Caenorhabditis elegans: one gene and its partners. The protein of the gene in region 1 purifies or fractionates together with the protein of each later gene. This does not show direct contact. Each region holds a gene or a part of one and is shown on either strand. Other genes may lie near its edges.

Region 1 (3,910 bases):
TTCTCTTGGTTTAACTGAAAATATCATCTTTTGTAGCTGAAAATGCCTAAAAACTGTCCGAAAGTTGCCGAAAAATCGGTCATCGGCAACTTTCAGGCAATTTTTCTGCTCTTTTTCCAATTTTTCCACTAAAAATAATGTTATTTTCAGTAAAAACAAGTGAATTTCTATGTTTTGAGACTGATTTTATTGAAAAATTTGGGAAGTACAGGCTTTTTGTAGAATTTTCCGAAAATAATTGAGAACAGGAATATTCACCTTATTATATACTAAAAACCGCGGAAAAATCTGATTTTTAATGTTTTTTTATAAAAAACCTGCAAAAATTCATTTTCCGAGCTTATCTACAAAAAATTCTATTTTGCCGCATTCTCTCGGTTTATATGAAAATAACACACTTTTCAGCAGAAATATTGGAGAAAATGCCCAAAAATTGCCTGAAAGTTGCATTTTTCTGCGTTTTTTTCCACTTTTTCCACTAAAAACAATGCTATTTTCAGATAAACCAAGTGAATTTTCACTGAAAAACGTGGGAAACACAGGCTTTTCCGCTGGAAAATATCTTGCGCGTAATTTTCCGCGAAAATCCGCTCAAAATATTACCATTATTGAACACAACCAACGGCTGCTGCACAATAACCACATTATTAGTTCGTCTCTTGATAAGATCAGCGATTGTGGATATTTTTCCGTGAAGAGCCAACAAATCTCGATGATGACCGACTCTTGAGCGCAGCCAGCCGATTAAACCGCCAATTTCCTTCTCCAAATTCGGAAGTGAGCTGAGATAAGGCATGTGAATTGAGAAGGCGATTTGAGCCCATCGGATGGTTGGACGAATGCTGGAAAATCAATAAATTAGGAGGAATTAGTACTAAAAATTCGATTTACTCTGCAGCATTCCTCGTTTTCAAGCGAGATTCGATGATTTTGAGCAATGGCAAGACCTGCATCGGCTGGAGATCACGGAGGGTAGCGTGAATAATTTCAGAATTCAAATTTCTAATGACTGAGTCGATTTTTGCACTATCATTAGCCATTATTCCCTGAGTAAGCAGAACACATTGTGATCCACCGCCGCTACCACTCGTTTTTCCCTTTTTGAGTTCAGAAGTTGGCCTGAAAATCGGAAATAATTGAATATTATCGAAAATCCACCAATAATCCTACGTGGCTGGCTCTTTTTCACGATCTCCGAGCGGTTTGTTGGCCTCTTTCTCCGATTCACTCAGTTTTTTCCCATTTCGAAGCGAACCGTTAATATGCGAATGCCCATTTACTACAGGGGACTCGATTTTCTCAGGAGTTGCAGGAGATGTAACTGCCGCCACATTTGATTTCCTGGCTTTCCGTTCTCGAGCCATTTTCTGGAAACTGCAAAAAAATATTGGAAAATTCGATTTTAAGGCCATTTTACGCACAATAATCGCAAAAAAGATACATTTCACGGTAAAAAAGCTTTAAAAACTAATAAGAACAATAAAAAATCAATAAAATACGCCTGAAAACCATGAAAAACTCTTCAAAAACGCCTGGAAATAAGGAAAATAAAGATTAAAAATTTTGCACCGCAAACGCGCAAGCGACGAGAAATGCGTCAGTGACGGGGTTGGCGCGGCAAATTAACCCCGCGAATTTTGAACGTGACCCCTTCATTCGGTGGATTTTGGGCCCAAAATTTGCGATTTTCTCTTATTTCCATTTCATTTGCGGCAGTTTTTTCCGGAAAATACACGAAACTGGCTTATTTCAACATGAAAATCCAACTTTTTTAAGCGAAAATTGTCTAAAATTGAAATAAAAATGCAGAAAACGGGTTTGTCTATCTGAAAATAATGTTTTACGGCATTTTTCGGCAAACTGCAAGCTTTTTAACAAAAATGAGTTTTATTTTCAAATAGAAAAACCCGTTTTCTATCAATTTTAGATCAAAAAAGTTGGATTTTCATATTAAAATAAGCCATTTCTTTGTTTTCAACGTTATTTTCTCATTTTTAATCACTAATTCATTTCAGAATGTCTCAAAAATCAAACGACACCACATTCTCGGTCAGAGCCGCGCTCTTCGCATCACCCGTCGGCTCATCATCAGCAGTTCCAAAGAAGAAAGTGGCTCGAGAGGTGCCACGTGCAGGGCCGCCAGTTTTTGCCCTCGAGCACGATGTTTCGGAAGTCACCGACAGAAATAAAGACGGCACCTTTCTGGCTGCAGACGCGTGCGCTAGTGGCCCTACTTTGAAGGTTCCAGACGAAACACAAGGTTGCCCAGAAACTTTCAGTGTTTCGGAACACGAAGATGACGACGACGTTGAGCCGATGGAAGTTGATGGAACCATCGTTCCGTCGCCCCAGCGAGCAACGCCGACACGTGGCGTAACTCCTTGCGAAAAATCGACGACTCCACGCAGAAGATCCTCGAGAAAGTCGATGCCAACGCCTGGGAAGCGTCTGTTCTTCACCAGCAAAGACACTACGAACGAGGATCGCAAGGCTGATGACTCGACGCAACTGGAGCTTCTGATGGCAAAGATTCCGCAGGAGATGTCGGGTTACATGAAAAAGTTGGCCACCGACATCAAAGAGGTAGTATTATCGATTTTTAACTTTACATTTAAATCTAAAATTTTCATTTTCAGATGAGCCAATACGATGCACAGCTGGCGCGGAATATCGACGACATGGAAGCGGTTTTCAAATCCCGCGAAACTAAGCTCAAGTCAGCTATTGAAATCGCCAAGGACAGCTTCATCTCGTCCGCTCTGCCTCTTCGCCTCGAGACCCTGGACATGACTCTGCGTAAAGAAGAATCGCCAAATGATATCGTTGCGAGACTTCACGGAAGTTTTCTCGACAAAACCCAGGATGCCGGAAACGTGAATACTGCACAAAAGGAGAACCAGCAGCTGGAGGATGAGCGCGGGATGCTGGTGAGAGTTTCAAATTATTTAAATATGATTTTTAAAAATAAAAATACAATATTATATTTCCAGGAAGAAAAGCTGGAGAGTCTCAACAAGATCAAGAGAGAGAAGGATGAATTTCTGGCGAAAATGCGAAAAGAGGAAGAGGAAGCGCTCGCTCGCCGGGAGGAAATCAAGCAGGGCTTCGAGCGAATCGATGCTCTAATGAGCAAAATCAAGCCGATTCCAATTTTTGAATTCTGATTTCTGATTTCTCACGCTCTGTATAATATTCTATTTCTGACACAATTGATTTCATAAATACATGTATAATATTTTATTCATAGCCTAGGTCTTGCTTATTAAGTGTCAATTTCATTACGTGTACTTTAATTATTGGTTTTGAGTATCTGAAGTTGAGATCCTAGCTGCTTTGGTCCTTTATAAATATATGTTTCTTTAATTTGAGTTGCTATCGCTATCGAAGGTCGTCCTCTTCCTCCTCATTTGCATGTTTTTCTAGCTTCTTCCCCATTAGTTTCCCGCTGACTCCACCGTCGACGAGGTTCTCGAAAACCACGTCGCCATTGTTTCGAAAACAGGAAAATGGCATTTCGCGAAGTGTTGTGAGACCACACTGGAATTTTATTAGTTTTTGAAGCTTTTAGATCGAAAATTCATCGAGGCACCACGGATTCAAGTGCCAACGCAAAGAAACGGGCCAGATCCGATATCCCACCGGTTCTAGATTTCGTGGTGCCTCAATTGGTCTTGCCACGTGGTCAAAGGTCTCGCCACGCTTCCGATGTGGTGTGTGTGCCTTTAAACACGGGTACTGTATTTTTTATAGGTTTTCTGACTTTTCGCTCTATTTTTTTCGTAAAAAGCGGAAATTTTATTGAATAAGAAACTACTATCCTTGCTGAAAATATTCTGAGAAGCCACAGCAGTTGCAACGGTTGCCACGTACTCGCAATCTTCCTTCACAGCATTTTCCAGACTCTTCTCGA
Region 2 (5,207 bases), on another chromosome or scaffold:
TGAGAAACAAACAAGACAACTATTTTGACGAGCGACGTGAGAAATGATAGAAGTTGTTGCTCGCCTTTCTCTTTTACACTGGAAACGCAGAGAGACGAGAGATCGAGCGAGAGACCGCGCATTTGGATGGGTTGAAACGAATCAAATAAAAAACACATGAAGAATAACCGAAAACACAAATATAAATGTTTGAAGATCATTTGAAATTAAGAAGGCATGAACAGTAGTGATAAAACAAACCATTTCTAGAAATTTGATCAAATATGCTGTCAAAACAACGTCACTCATATAGATAAAAGTAAAAAATCAAGAATCACAAATGTTTTAGGGAAAATCTGAATTAGAAAATTGGAAGAAATGAAAATAATACATTTTGTAAACATTTTTTCTCAATTTTGGATGAAATCGATGAAGGGAAACCTTCAAAATTGTAAGACAAAAAGGCAAAAACAAAAAATAAATGGAGACCCGAAGAACTCGGGGGATGTCCAATTGGGGGGATTACCAGGGGATTGGTCCCGCCCACAGAACCGTGGCTTGCAATACGCCCATTTCTGCAACTGCCGCACGGTTTTAAAATTATTTTTTCTTGTTAATTCTCGCTCTATTGAGAAAAATACAGTTTTAAAACCGTGCGGCATTTGCAGAAATGGGCGTATTGCAAACCACGGTTCTGTGGGTGAGGCCAATCCCCCGAGTTGGTAATCCCCCCAATTGGACATCCCCCGAGTTCTTCGGGTCTCAATAAATGTTCGAAAGTATAGAAAGCATGCAAAATTGCGTTAAGTTAAATGCTGTCTGTGCAAACATCTCCGCAAAAGTTCAAAATTTTTTGCGCGGGGGCGCGGGTCTCACCACGAATACCGTACACTTGATACCGACAGGCGGGAAAAATCATTTTTAGAGTCTGATTTTTAGGCTTTGATTTTATTCTATTTTTCTCTTTTCGTTTTAAAATTTTATTTTCTTGCGGATCATTAGAAAAAAAAATGAAAACGCGCTTGAAATAACTTTCGAAGAACTTGGTTGAAATCAATATGTACTTTAAAGAGCTACCGCTCAACTAATATTGCACGAATTTTATTTAGAAAACTACTAATAAATTCTGCGTTTAGTATTTTCTACTGTTAGGGACGTGGAGGCCTTGTTGAAATTCGTGAAAACAAGCATAAATAGATCTCGATGAAGTATTATTCATTTTTCTTTATTTCACCAAAGCGTATCGATTGGCCTCTCTTCAAAACTGCGTTTGACTTGGTTCGGCTATTATTTTATACAAAGTCTGTGTCTTTCTCCCTTAAAATCAATCAATATTTGGCTCATAATACCTTCTTGCCTTTTGAATGCGAAAAGAAAACAATAAATACGTTTCCTCTATCCTCTTCTCGTAGCCTTCCCCCTCTAACCAAACGCGCTCCGTTGTACAATGCAAAACCGCCACTTTCAAATTTAGCTCCCATTTGACATCGAGAAGTTTGCTTATATTTATTCACCTCTTAAAATTGTCTTTTTTTCAAAACGATATCAAATTGCAGAATGAATCGAAAACCGCGAACCCGCAGTACGATTGTTCCTGGTCGAGTAAGTGATTCAGATTTTTAAAATTCTTAACAAATGTTTGATTTTTACAAAAAAAAAGTTCCACATTATGGTAATTTGATTGCTTACTTATTTTGTTTATTTCAGAAAATGATCACTGAAATCGTTGCTCTTCGTGAGGCTGGCTTGGACGATACAAGACCGTCGTACTTGGAGGAACCAACAGTTATCGTCGATGAATCGATGATGAATGATAGTGCAAATTTGGAGGAGCGAGAATGGAGAAAACAGGGACTATCTGAGAAGCAGATGTTCGCTATTTTGGAGAAAAGGAAACAAACACAGCTTAACAATGTAAATTTCAGTCACAAAATCTTTTCAACACCTAATAAACTATATTCAGGCCAGAAAACGTCTCGAAAAGGAAATGTACGGAGCGAAAACCTTCAAAGAGTTGATTGCTTGTCGTGAATACTCCGAATGTGAGAGCGACAGCGAGAACACTGTGAATCAAAATGTCCGAAGCGCTTCGGTTTTTGCCATTCCGGCGCTTCCGAAACACATCAGTGAAAAGTCGATGATGGGCTCGCCAATTGCTAATTCCAGAGGGGTATGAGATGAATTTGCGTGTTCATAGTTTAATAAATCTATAATTTCAGAGTGGAAAAGCTGGATTAAGTTGTTCAACTCCCAAGAGCTCGAGTGATACGTCGATGAGGTCCTTGAGATCGCTTGATATTTCACATGTCGTCAATACCGATCGACTAGATGCTGAAAGAGTGGTAAAATTTGTTTGTTTTAAAGATATTTAAACTAACTTTTATATCGTTTCAGACTGTTCACACCAAGTCTGTCGTTATCCCAACCATTCTCGAGGAGAGAGAGTCAACACTCCAGAAAACTCTCACGATTGAGAAGAATCACAGCTCTCAGCTGCAAAAAACCTTCACTGTGGCTGAAGATGCTCCTGAAGAACTTCAGAAAACGGTGACAATCGAGAAGAATCAGAGCTCGGAAATGCAAAGAACGTTTACGGTGGCTAAAGATGCATCAAAAGAGCAATCACAGCTTCAAAGAACGGTAACGATCGAGAAGAATCAAAGCTCTCAGCTGCAAGGAAACTTCACGGTGGCTAAAGATGCTCCTGAAGAACTTCAGAAAACGGTGACGATCGAGAAGAATCAGAGCTCGGAAATGCAGGGAACGGTCACAGTGGCTAAAGATGCAGAACACTCCTCTCTACAGAAAACGTTCACAAAGCCGACCGAGAAAGATGAGTCATCACTTCAAAGAACTTTCAACGTAGCTAACAGAGATGAAAATAACGATTCAACTCTTCAAAAGACGTTTATTATTGAAGAAAGAGATGCATACGAGCAAGGAACCACGAGTGTTGGTGTGAAGCCTCCAGTACTGGCACAAAACACGATGGAAGGAGGAGAAAAACGGAGAACGTCGAAAGTCACTTCGGATGAGCGAGAACGACGTAATGCCAGTATTTCTAATCCTCTTCACAACAGTATGCTCGAAAAGGAAGAAATTCAATCGCCGGGAGCCAACTTCTTCAAACATCCCCGAAAAAAGATCAGACCGGTGGTTCAAACGCCGCCACGAATCAAGGCAACCAGCAGACTTAGTACTGAATCGAATAAGGAGCGAACGATTGAGATGGAATCGGTAGCTGAAGAACGAACAATGGAAGCGGATTCTATTGGCTCGTCTTATATCTCTCCAACATTCAATGCATCTCGAGTTTCGCCGGTTCCAGAAGTTCCAGAAAAAGTGGAGCCAATGCATGTATCGAAAGCCGCAACTCCAAAGTATGTTTTTTTTCGAATTGCGGAATATTATTCTTATTTCTCCATTTTCCAGATCGATTCGGCACACGGATAATTCTATCCGTAATATTGGACCCACCAACAATGTCGAATGTGCTCGGGCTGCACTGCTCTCAACACCGACTAGGATGGATATCGTTGATTCTGTGAATCGAGTGACCCCGGCACGACGATATGAACAGCCTACTTTCGCTTCACTCGTCAAAAGGATGAATATGAAAGATGCTAATCGTTTGCTTGAGGAAACTTCACGAAAGAATACGCCTGCGAAGACTACTGCTACAACTTCTTCAGCCGCTGTTCGCATGGTTTTGGAGGATGATGAGGAGGATCAGGCGACGGAGGTCATTGAAAAAAGATCTGAAAATGGTGGTGTGATTGTCGATGGTGAGGATGAGGCAGCAGATTCAAGCAATCGCTCCCTGAACATCGAATTGAATGCGCTGACTGTCAACGAAGAGCCTGCACATGATATCAGTGCCATTGATTTTCCAGAGGACGATACAAATGAAATGAGATCTTCTTCTGACGAAGAAGAAATGGAAGCACGTCCAGATCCAAGGAAAAAGTCGTCTAGAAGACTCGGGCTTCTTAGTGAGTGTTACTTCACAAATAACAACGTTTTTAAAACAATTTCAGGTGATTCGATTGCTCTTGGTCTTGCTAGTTCGTCGAGAAGACGCCCAAACGACACATTCGTTGACGAAACATGGTATCCTGAACCGAATTCTAAAGGAAACAGACGTCCGAGAACACACAGGGGTATGAAACTGAAAGAGCATCAACTCAGTGAGTTTTAATTAATTAATGCAATCATTCGAAACTTTAAACATTTTCAGTGAAGCCAGAAGATGCTCCAGACGGTGTCCGAAGATCGACGCGTGTCCGCGTGAAGCCTGTTCGTTCGTGGCTTGGAGAACAACCGGTTTATGTCAATTCGCCGATTAGTGGCTGCAAGCGATTGACTGGTGTGACGGCCGTTGTCATCAAGGATCCGCGTTTGTGCTATTACAGAACTGCTGACGTCAGAACAGCAACCGAGCGAGAGCTGAAAGATAAGGCCAACAAAAGGGCTTTGGCGCAGGAAAAGAAGCAACAAAGACAGAATGCAAGAAGTGGGCGACGTCACGATAGTGACGACGATGAAGAAGATGATATGTGAAGAAATAACTATTGCTCCACTATTTAGCAATGTCAAAAAACCCATCTAATCCCAATACCTGTAAATAATGCAATTTTAAAGGGAATAAAGTTTGAATCTGTCAATCCTTTTTTATGTTTAGTTTATATCTGGTGAATTGTTCCAATAAATTTTATTTATTTTTCTTTAATTTGCGCGACATCCTCCATATGCCTAGCAAAAATTCAGATTAGCGATTTTCAATTTGCTCTAATGGGTTGTATATCCGGCTGAGCCACACACACACATACACATATTTATCACTAAGTCGTCGTCATAAGCGTGATATATACCGGATATATAAGATTTGGATATTTACGAAGAGGCGAGGGGTATAAATAAGCGACGGCCCGTTGAGGTATTCATGCACGCCACCTCCCGTGTCGCCTGGTTTTGGCGGCCGTCCTGTCAATCGTTTAGTAAGTCTTTTTTGCGCGCTTTTCCAGAAAAAAATCAGCTTTTCGTTTTGAAATGTTGTCACTTTACAAGATTTTTCCATGTATTCTAAGATTCTTCTTAAAGGCGCACGGATTTATTCAGATGGGTCTCGGCGCGCAAAAAAGTTTATGGTAGTCTTCTGAGAATTCTTCCTCGTTTTCCTCGGATTTTTAAATGAAATTACTTGGTTTTTAGCGAATTTTATAGTTTTA
Region 3 (3,085 bases), on another chromosome or scaffold:
TCTTCTTCTTCTTCAGAATCCTCATCCATGTAGATAATGTCTTCTTCTTGGCGTTTTAGCGATTTGCGACGTGGTGGAGTTGGATTTTTTTTGGGTCGGCTGAAAATTGATGGAATTTATTTTTAATCTGAACAGGCAGATTTATATAGCTTCTAAATATTCTTAATTTTGCAAAATTGGGATTTTTCAGAAAAATTCCCAATTTTTTGGAAAAAAAATCCATGATTGTGAAAAAAAAATCTCAATTTTTGAGTAAAATTCCATTTTTCTGAAAACAAAATTTAATTTTTTTGCGGAACACTTTATTTTTGTTTTTCTTGATTATGCAAATTGTAGCCTCGTTTTCAGGCGTTTTTCCGCAAAACTATCATAAAAAGAATTTTGAATTTTCGATTTCTGAAAAAATGAGAAAAAATCAAGAAAACCCGAAAAATTGGCCGGAGAACGCAAGCATAGTTCCTTCGGAATTTGAATATTTGCAAAAATTCGAAACATTTTGCAGTTGTATTCGGTATTACCCAGGCGCGAAAATATGATCTCGAAACGACAAATTTTTGTACATCGCAAATGGGTTTGCATAGTTTTTCTTTAAATCTAAATAATTTGTTGTGAACGACGTGAAAAAGCGTATTATACGTTTTTTCGATTGAAAATTTGACGAAAGCGGAAATATCCTAAGAATTTGCGTTAAAACTTGAAAAAAGCATTTAATTGAAAATTATCTGAAATCAGCGGAATTTCTGAAATTATTTTTCTTCTTGATTTCTCACCCTCTAGCCTTCGAGGTACTCTTTGGTGCTGGTGTTGACGCAGGTGTAGATCTAACCGAGATCTCTTCAATCTTCACCTCCACCTCCTCGGCGTCTGATGGTGTTTCCCGTTGAGCCGCACGTTTTTTTGTTGGCGGTGGACTGTAACCGTCGTCAAAATAACGTTTCGGAAGTCGACTGCGGCGTGGACGAGATGATGATGTGGATTCTGATGGGTCTTCTGAATCGGCAATTGAAGAATTTCCGGATTCAGACGGATGCTTTCGCTTTGAACGGCCACGTGGTGGAGCCATCTGAAAAAATTTCGAAACTTTTCGAAAATCGATAAGCTTAAGAATGTTCGTCAAAAAATATTGAAAGCCTCGAAAGGAATAAATTTAAAATCAAATTAGAACACTGGTAATTGTGAAAAAGAGCTTGAAATCCAAGAAAAAAAGATTTTACGTCATCATATGGTCTTTGGAGGAAAATCAATAAAATTTGCGAGAAATGACAATCGGAATATAACATTATTAGATAAAAATACATTAAAAAAGGATCCAGGATTGGTAAACTACAGTACGAAATCTTAATTTTTGAAGCTGAAAAAATCGATAATGGGATAAAACTCATTTTCCAGCGGAAAATCGGCTTTTCTCAAGTGGAAACATAAAAAACAATGGGAAAAAAGGAAAAATAATAATTTTCCGAAATTTTCCTTCACTTTTCCGTCTAAATAATCAGTTTGGACACTTTTTTGAACGCGCCGCGCCGTAAATCGACTCAGTGCGAGAGGCACACCCTAAAGGCGCACACATTTATTTGCAATGGTCGCGACGAGACCTTGGCCCTCTTGACGCGGGAATTTGAGTTGGAATTTATCTTTGCTAATTTTGCTGTCGCATTTTTATTTATTTATCTTAGTTTTTAACCGATTTTCATTGAATTTTTGCAGGTTTTTCGGCAAAATGGAGTCACTCAACGAGTATATGGACAAGATTATTAATCGTCTTAAGGCAGTCAATGAGAAAGACGAATTAGTTGATGAAGGAATGCGGAAACTCCAAAAATGCCAGGAAAAAATTATGAAAACGAGAATCGATGCTCAAAAACATATCGATGGTAAATTTGCAAGGAAATTGTTTAGATGTGTGCATAAAACAAAACATTTGTTCAGAACGCCACGAGCAACAGTCATTCGAACAACAGCTACTGAACAAAAATATGTTTGAAACTGAGCAACTGGAAGAAAAACTAAAAAGATTGGACGATGAGAACAAAATTGGAAATGAGCGGGAATTTAACAGTAAGCTGATAGTCTTTGAAACAATTTATCTGATTTACTCCAGAAAAATTGGAAGCAATATCTGCGAAGTGGACGGATGACGTCAATCTCTTGAAAACCACGCCGAATGAGCCTAACGATGGGAATAGAAAGAAATTGTAAGGGATTTAATTAAAAATAAGTTTTGTGAAGAAACTGCTCAAAAGTTTTTAAAATCTGGACTAAAATCTTCAGTTTTGCCTACTTTACTGTGTGGCTGGCAGCAGTCGGAACTTAATGTTTATTTAATTATTATTATGCGGGCGGCACTGAAGAGCGGTAAAAATTTTGATATTTCACCACCAGACTCGTTTATATAGGTCCATTTTAAAGCTATTTAACCAAAAAATCCTTCTTTATAAACTAAACGTGTATTTTTTTCAGATCGAACCTCTCCAACATCTTGGTCTAACTCTGGTTTTCATCCACGTATCAATTATGCCTTCTTTTCATGTATATTAAATCATTTCATTTATTATATTGTTATCATCATCACATTTCAATAGTTTCCAATTGTTCCGTAGAAGGTATTAGGGAAACTCTTCTCTCTTCCGTTCGAGGAAAATTTGTTCAAAAGTTCCCAGGTGTTAGCGGAAGATTGTGGATTTTCTTGTGATGTCGTGGTTTCTACAGGAGCCGGTCTCACTCTTGCCAGGGATTCTTCAGAAGAAGAGGATGATGATGAGGAAGACGAGGACGACGACGAAGAAGACGATGAAGATGTGGAGGAGGATGGACAAGAAGCAGAAGCTCTCCGATTCAAAGTTTTCGGGCAAAATTCTCCATTTGGATTCACCTCGCAATCGTGATGAATTTTCCACGCGATGAACTTGTCCAGGTACACATTTCTATAATTGGAATTTTTCTATAATATTTGGAACATTTTTATCTCTGACAACCCGGATGCAATGGGGCCTGCCTACAATCGACGCCTTTTCTCTGTCTTCCCTGGATTTTGGATCTCGCTGCAAACTTTCTCGCAGCTTTCGGAATGCCAAGCTTCACGCAAATC
Region 4 (2,904 bases), on another chromosome or scaffold:
CATTGTGCATTGTATTTATTGAAACTAATTACAATTTATGATCCAATATTATGCAAATCGATCAGTTTTTGATAGGTACCCAATTCGTGGCCGAGTCTCTCGGAAAGCTAGGCCAAATGCCGTTTTTGGCGGCAGTCGACGCGTTTTGAAAAAGAAAGAATGAGGACACGCAAACGTTTTTCTTGTCAAATATTCCCGTGACCTTTTGACAACTCATAATCATGGAGACGTGTAAGATTGATGATATGGACGGTGACGGTGAATCATTATTCAGTGTTAAATGGAAGGCCTTCCGGAAGAATCCGCGATTCTCGAGGTAATTATTAATATTTATTCAAAGCTTTTATATTTTTACTTTTAAGTATCATAATCAAAACGTTTCAGGTGAATGCCAATACAACTTCCCCCGATGTAAAAGTTAAATGTAAACAATGTGATCGATTTTTCACGTCTGAAAGATCCCTTCGTTGTCATATCAAAGTGCACAGTTAGTTTCAGGCGATTAGATTTATGAAACCAATATTTATTTTTAGATGACAAATTGTTGGAGTGCTATTTCTGCGACAAAATGTTCAATCGAACGGATACTCTGTTTTTCCACGCACTCGACCACATCAGCAAAGGGTAATTGCAAGAAATATTTTGAAATTTTTGAAAAACTGTTTCGTTCAGAACTCTACCTTGTCGTGCCGAAGGATGTGATCAACTCGTTGAGACCATGTTAGAGGGCGAGAATCATGCGAATACAGCTCATCATGTGAATGGTACAGTATCGATAAAGTGCAAGGTAAGTAAAATATCGATAGATTGAAACAGAACTAATCAAAACATTTCAGGATTGCTCCGAAGTTTCAGTATCCTTCCGTAAAATGCTATTCCATCACACATTCAAGCATGGAGAACTTAAAGAATATGCGGAGGAAATGATTATCAAGCAGAAAGATTTCCTTCGAATGAAAAAGAATCAAAGCCGGAAGGAAAGAAAAACTTCAGTTGGAGCAAAGGAAGAATCAAAGCAATTCGATGTTCAAGATGCTTTAGAAATCGAAGTCAAGGAAGAAATCTATGAAGCAGACGAAGATGATGGGATTTTAAAGCAATTGCAGGTTGGATTTATAGCATGATAGAGGTTGAAACTTGAATTTTCAGATGGCTATGTCTGTATCATCAGCTTCCAATTCGGAGATGATCGCGAAACTATCGGATGTGATTGCAGAATTATTCCCATTGAATGATAACGAGAAATACCAATGCACTCATTGCTTGATGGTATGGTTTTTGCTCTGGAAAATCTTAAAAACGTAATTTTTCACAGAGTTTCACCGACGCAATCCTCTGGATGACGCACATTGGATATCACGAAATTGACGATCCGTTCAAATGTTCTGGATGCGGCCGAAAGTTTGAGAATCGGTAGGCTATTTCGAAGATTTTGCTCTGAAGATCAGTAATAATTACAGACAAGCGTTCGCTCTTCATCTAAACTACTTCGCACATACAATTGGTTTTGGAGGAGAAAACGAAAGCGATGAATAGTTCTATTTCATGTTCCTTTATTTTATTTAACAAATAAATATGCATAATACTTGTATTTCTGCTCAAATTTATTCCTGCGTGAAGTTCCATAACTTTTAAAATACTTCTTGTTTAATTTCGTTTCATAGTTTCTTGTTAAGTGTATTTGTAAGTTTTCCGCGTTTTAGATAAAATCAATATCATGTCGCAAAGAAAAGAAGTCTTGAATCAAATGCTGGACACAACTCTGGAAATATTCACAAAATCATTGTTAGAGTCCCAGGATTTGTGGAAAATGGTAAGCTTGATATTTTTGCACGTTTTATCCAGAACTAAAATTTTCAGAGTTCTCATAGAAAACTCAACATGGATAAAGCTGCAGTGGATGCTGTGATGGCTCGAATGGCGAAATCAACACAACAAAAAGTTTTGGAGAAGACTGATCAAATGATTAAAGAAAATAGTGTTTACGAACTTTTCGATGATATGGAACAATTGACGAGAGAATCTGAAGAATTAAATAAGCAACTCGGAAGAGAAATGGGATATAATCCAGTCAATGTTTGTATATTGATTTTAATATTAATATACACATTTTCATCGTTTTAGGCAAAACGAGATGTCGCATTGCACCTCTCCGAAACTGCCGAGAAAATGCTCACTGAAGCAGATGCTGAAATCGAAAAGATTGAAAAAGAACTGAAAGCTGAAGAAGATGAAATAGCTCGTCGTAAGCAGGTGCTCAAGGAGCTTGCAACAATTGTCGAGTCACAACAGCAAAAGCTGTAGAATTTTGATATTAATATAACCTTCACTTAATTTAACTGAATCTTTCTTTTCCTATTTACCAAATTTTTCTGAACTTTTGTTTGTCTCTAAAATAAAACTTTCTCTTCAAAAAAAACATCTTTCGGAATAATTAATATTCATATTGGTTTGGAATTGTGAGGGGAAAATTCAGAAAGGGCAAGGAGGTATGAAACTTTAAAAAGTGATTAGTCATGATAAAGGTTAGCAGGAATATCTAGCGATGGGAAATAGGGGACAGATACTTACAGAAAAAAAAAAGTAAATCACATTCAAGGTATAAAATATAATTTTGTGTTGAATCTCAAGGAGGACAATGATAATGGGTTTCTGCGAACTCATTCATCCGTTTCACGTGCTCACTGAAGTAATTGACCATTCCCGAGTGAACAAGACGGCGTGGAAGGCCACCTGAAAAATATAATGAATAGAAAAATTGATAAAGTTTTAGTTTTCATACCTTTGAGATCAGTCTTCATGAGCCATTCGAAATAAGTTACTCCTGCTTCATCTTTCAATGTTCGAATCATGGATGGGAAATTGTGTCCTCGTACGATTTTCGGATTTCCATTGTTTGGGCAT

What was found.
Region 2: the proteins of knl-3 (region 1) and hcp-4 purify together in Caenorhabditis elegans (affinity purification with mass spectrometry; one study listed by BioGRID). This does not show direct contact.
Region 3: the proteins of knl-3 (region 1) and kbp-3 purify together in Caenorhabditis elegans (affinity purification with mass spectrometry, with the first as the bait; one study listed by BioGRID). This does not show direct contact.
Region 4: the proteins of knl-3 (region 1) and kbp-2 purify together in Caenorhabditis elegans (affinity purification with mass spectrometry, with the first as the bait; one study listed by BioGRID). This does not show direct contact.

What each region holds. Positions count from the first base shown.
Region 1 is NC_003283.11:1,867,198-1,871,107, forward strand, and holds knl-3 (Kinetochore NuLl), read left to right. Parts: upstream 1-2,015; 5' UTR 2,016-2,016; coding exon 2,017-2,583; intron 2,584-2,636; coding exon 2,637-2,927; intron 2,928-2,990; coding exon 2,991-3,164; 3' UTR 3,165-3,361; downstream 3,362-3,910. Other genes in the region: T10B5.3 (Small-subunit processome Utp12 domain-containing protein), read right to left, coding at 604-842, 892-1,119, 1,171-1,364; T10B5.4 (aralkylamine N-acetyltransferase), read right to left, coding at 3,379-3,537, 3,819-3,910.
Region 2 is NC_003279.8:3,862,267-3,867,473, reverse strand, and holds hcp-4 (HoloCentric chromosome binding Protein), read left to right. Parts: upstream 1-1,535; 5' UTR 1,536-1,536; coding exon 1,537-1,581; intron 1,582-1,686; coding exon 1,687-1,893; intron 1,894-1,942; coding exon 1,943-2,149; intron 2,150-2,198; coding exon 2,199-2,321; intron 2,322-2,373; coding exon 2,374-3,359; intron 3,360-3,411; coding exon 3,412-3,971; intron 3,972-4,016; coding exon 4,017-4,166; intron 4,167-4,216; coding exon 4,217-4,539; 3' UTR 4,540-4,641; downstream 4,642-5,207. Other genes in the region: guk-1 (guanylate kinase), read left to right, coding at 4,922-4,976.
Region 3 is NC_003280.10:14,388,698-14,391,782, reverse strand, and holds kbp-3 (Kinetochore-binding protein 3), read left to right. Parts: upstream 1-1,704; 5' UTR 1,705-1,717; coding exon 1,718-1,871; intron 1,872-1,926; coding exon 1,927-2,055; intron 2,056-2,098; coding exon 2,099-2,192; intron 2,193-2,457; coding exon 2,458-2,485; 3' UTR 2,486-2,547; downstream 2,548-3,085. Other genes in the region: nurf-1 (DDT domain-containing protein), read right to left, coding at 1-99, 771-1,063; F26H11.8 (uncharacterized protein), read right to left, coding at 2,959-3,085.
Region 4 is NC_003281.10:4,902,684-4,905,587, reverse strand, and holds kbp-2 (Mediator of RNA polymerase II transcription subunit 21), read left to right. Parts: upstream 1-1,703; 5' UTR 1,704-1,717; coding exon 1,718-1,813; intron 1,814-1,860; coding exon 1,861-2,076; intron 2,077-2,124; coding exon 2,125-2,304; 3' UTR 2,305-2,404; downstream 2,405-2,904. Other genes in the region: F26F4.8 (C2H2-type domain-containing protein), read left to right, coding at 281-316, 385-487, 534-624, 673-787, 837-1,106, 1,150-1,269, 1,316-1,413, 1,461-1,536; tag-340 (START domain-containing protein), read right to left, coding at 2,627-2,733, 2,783-2,904.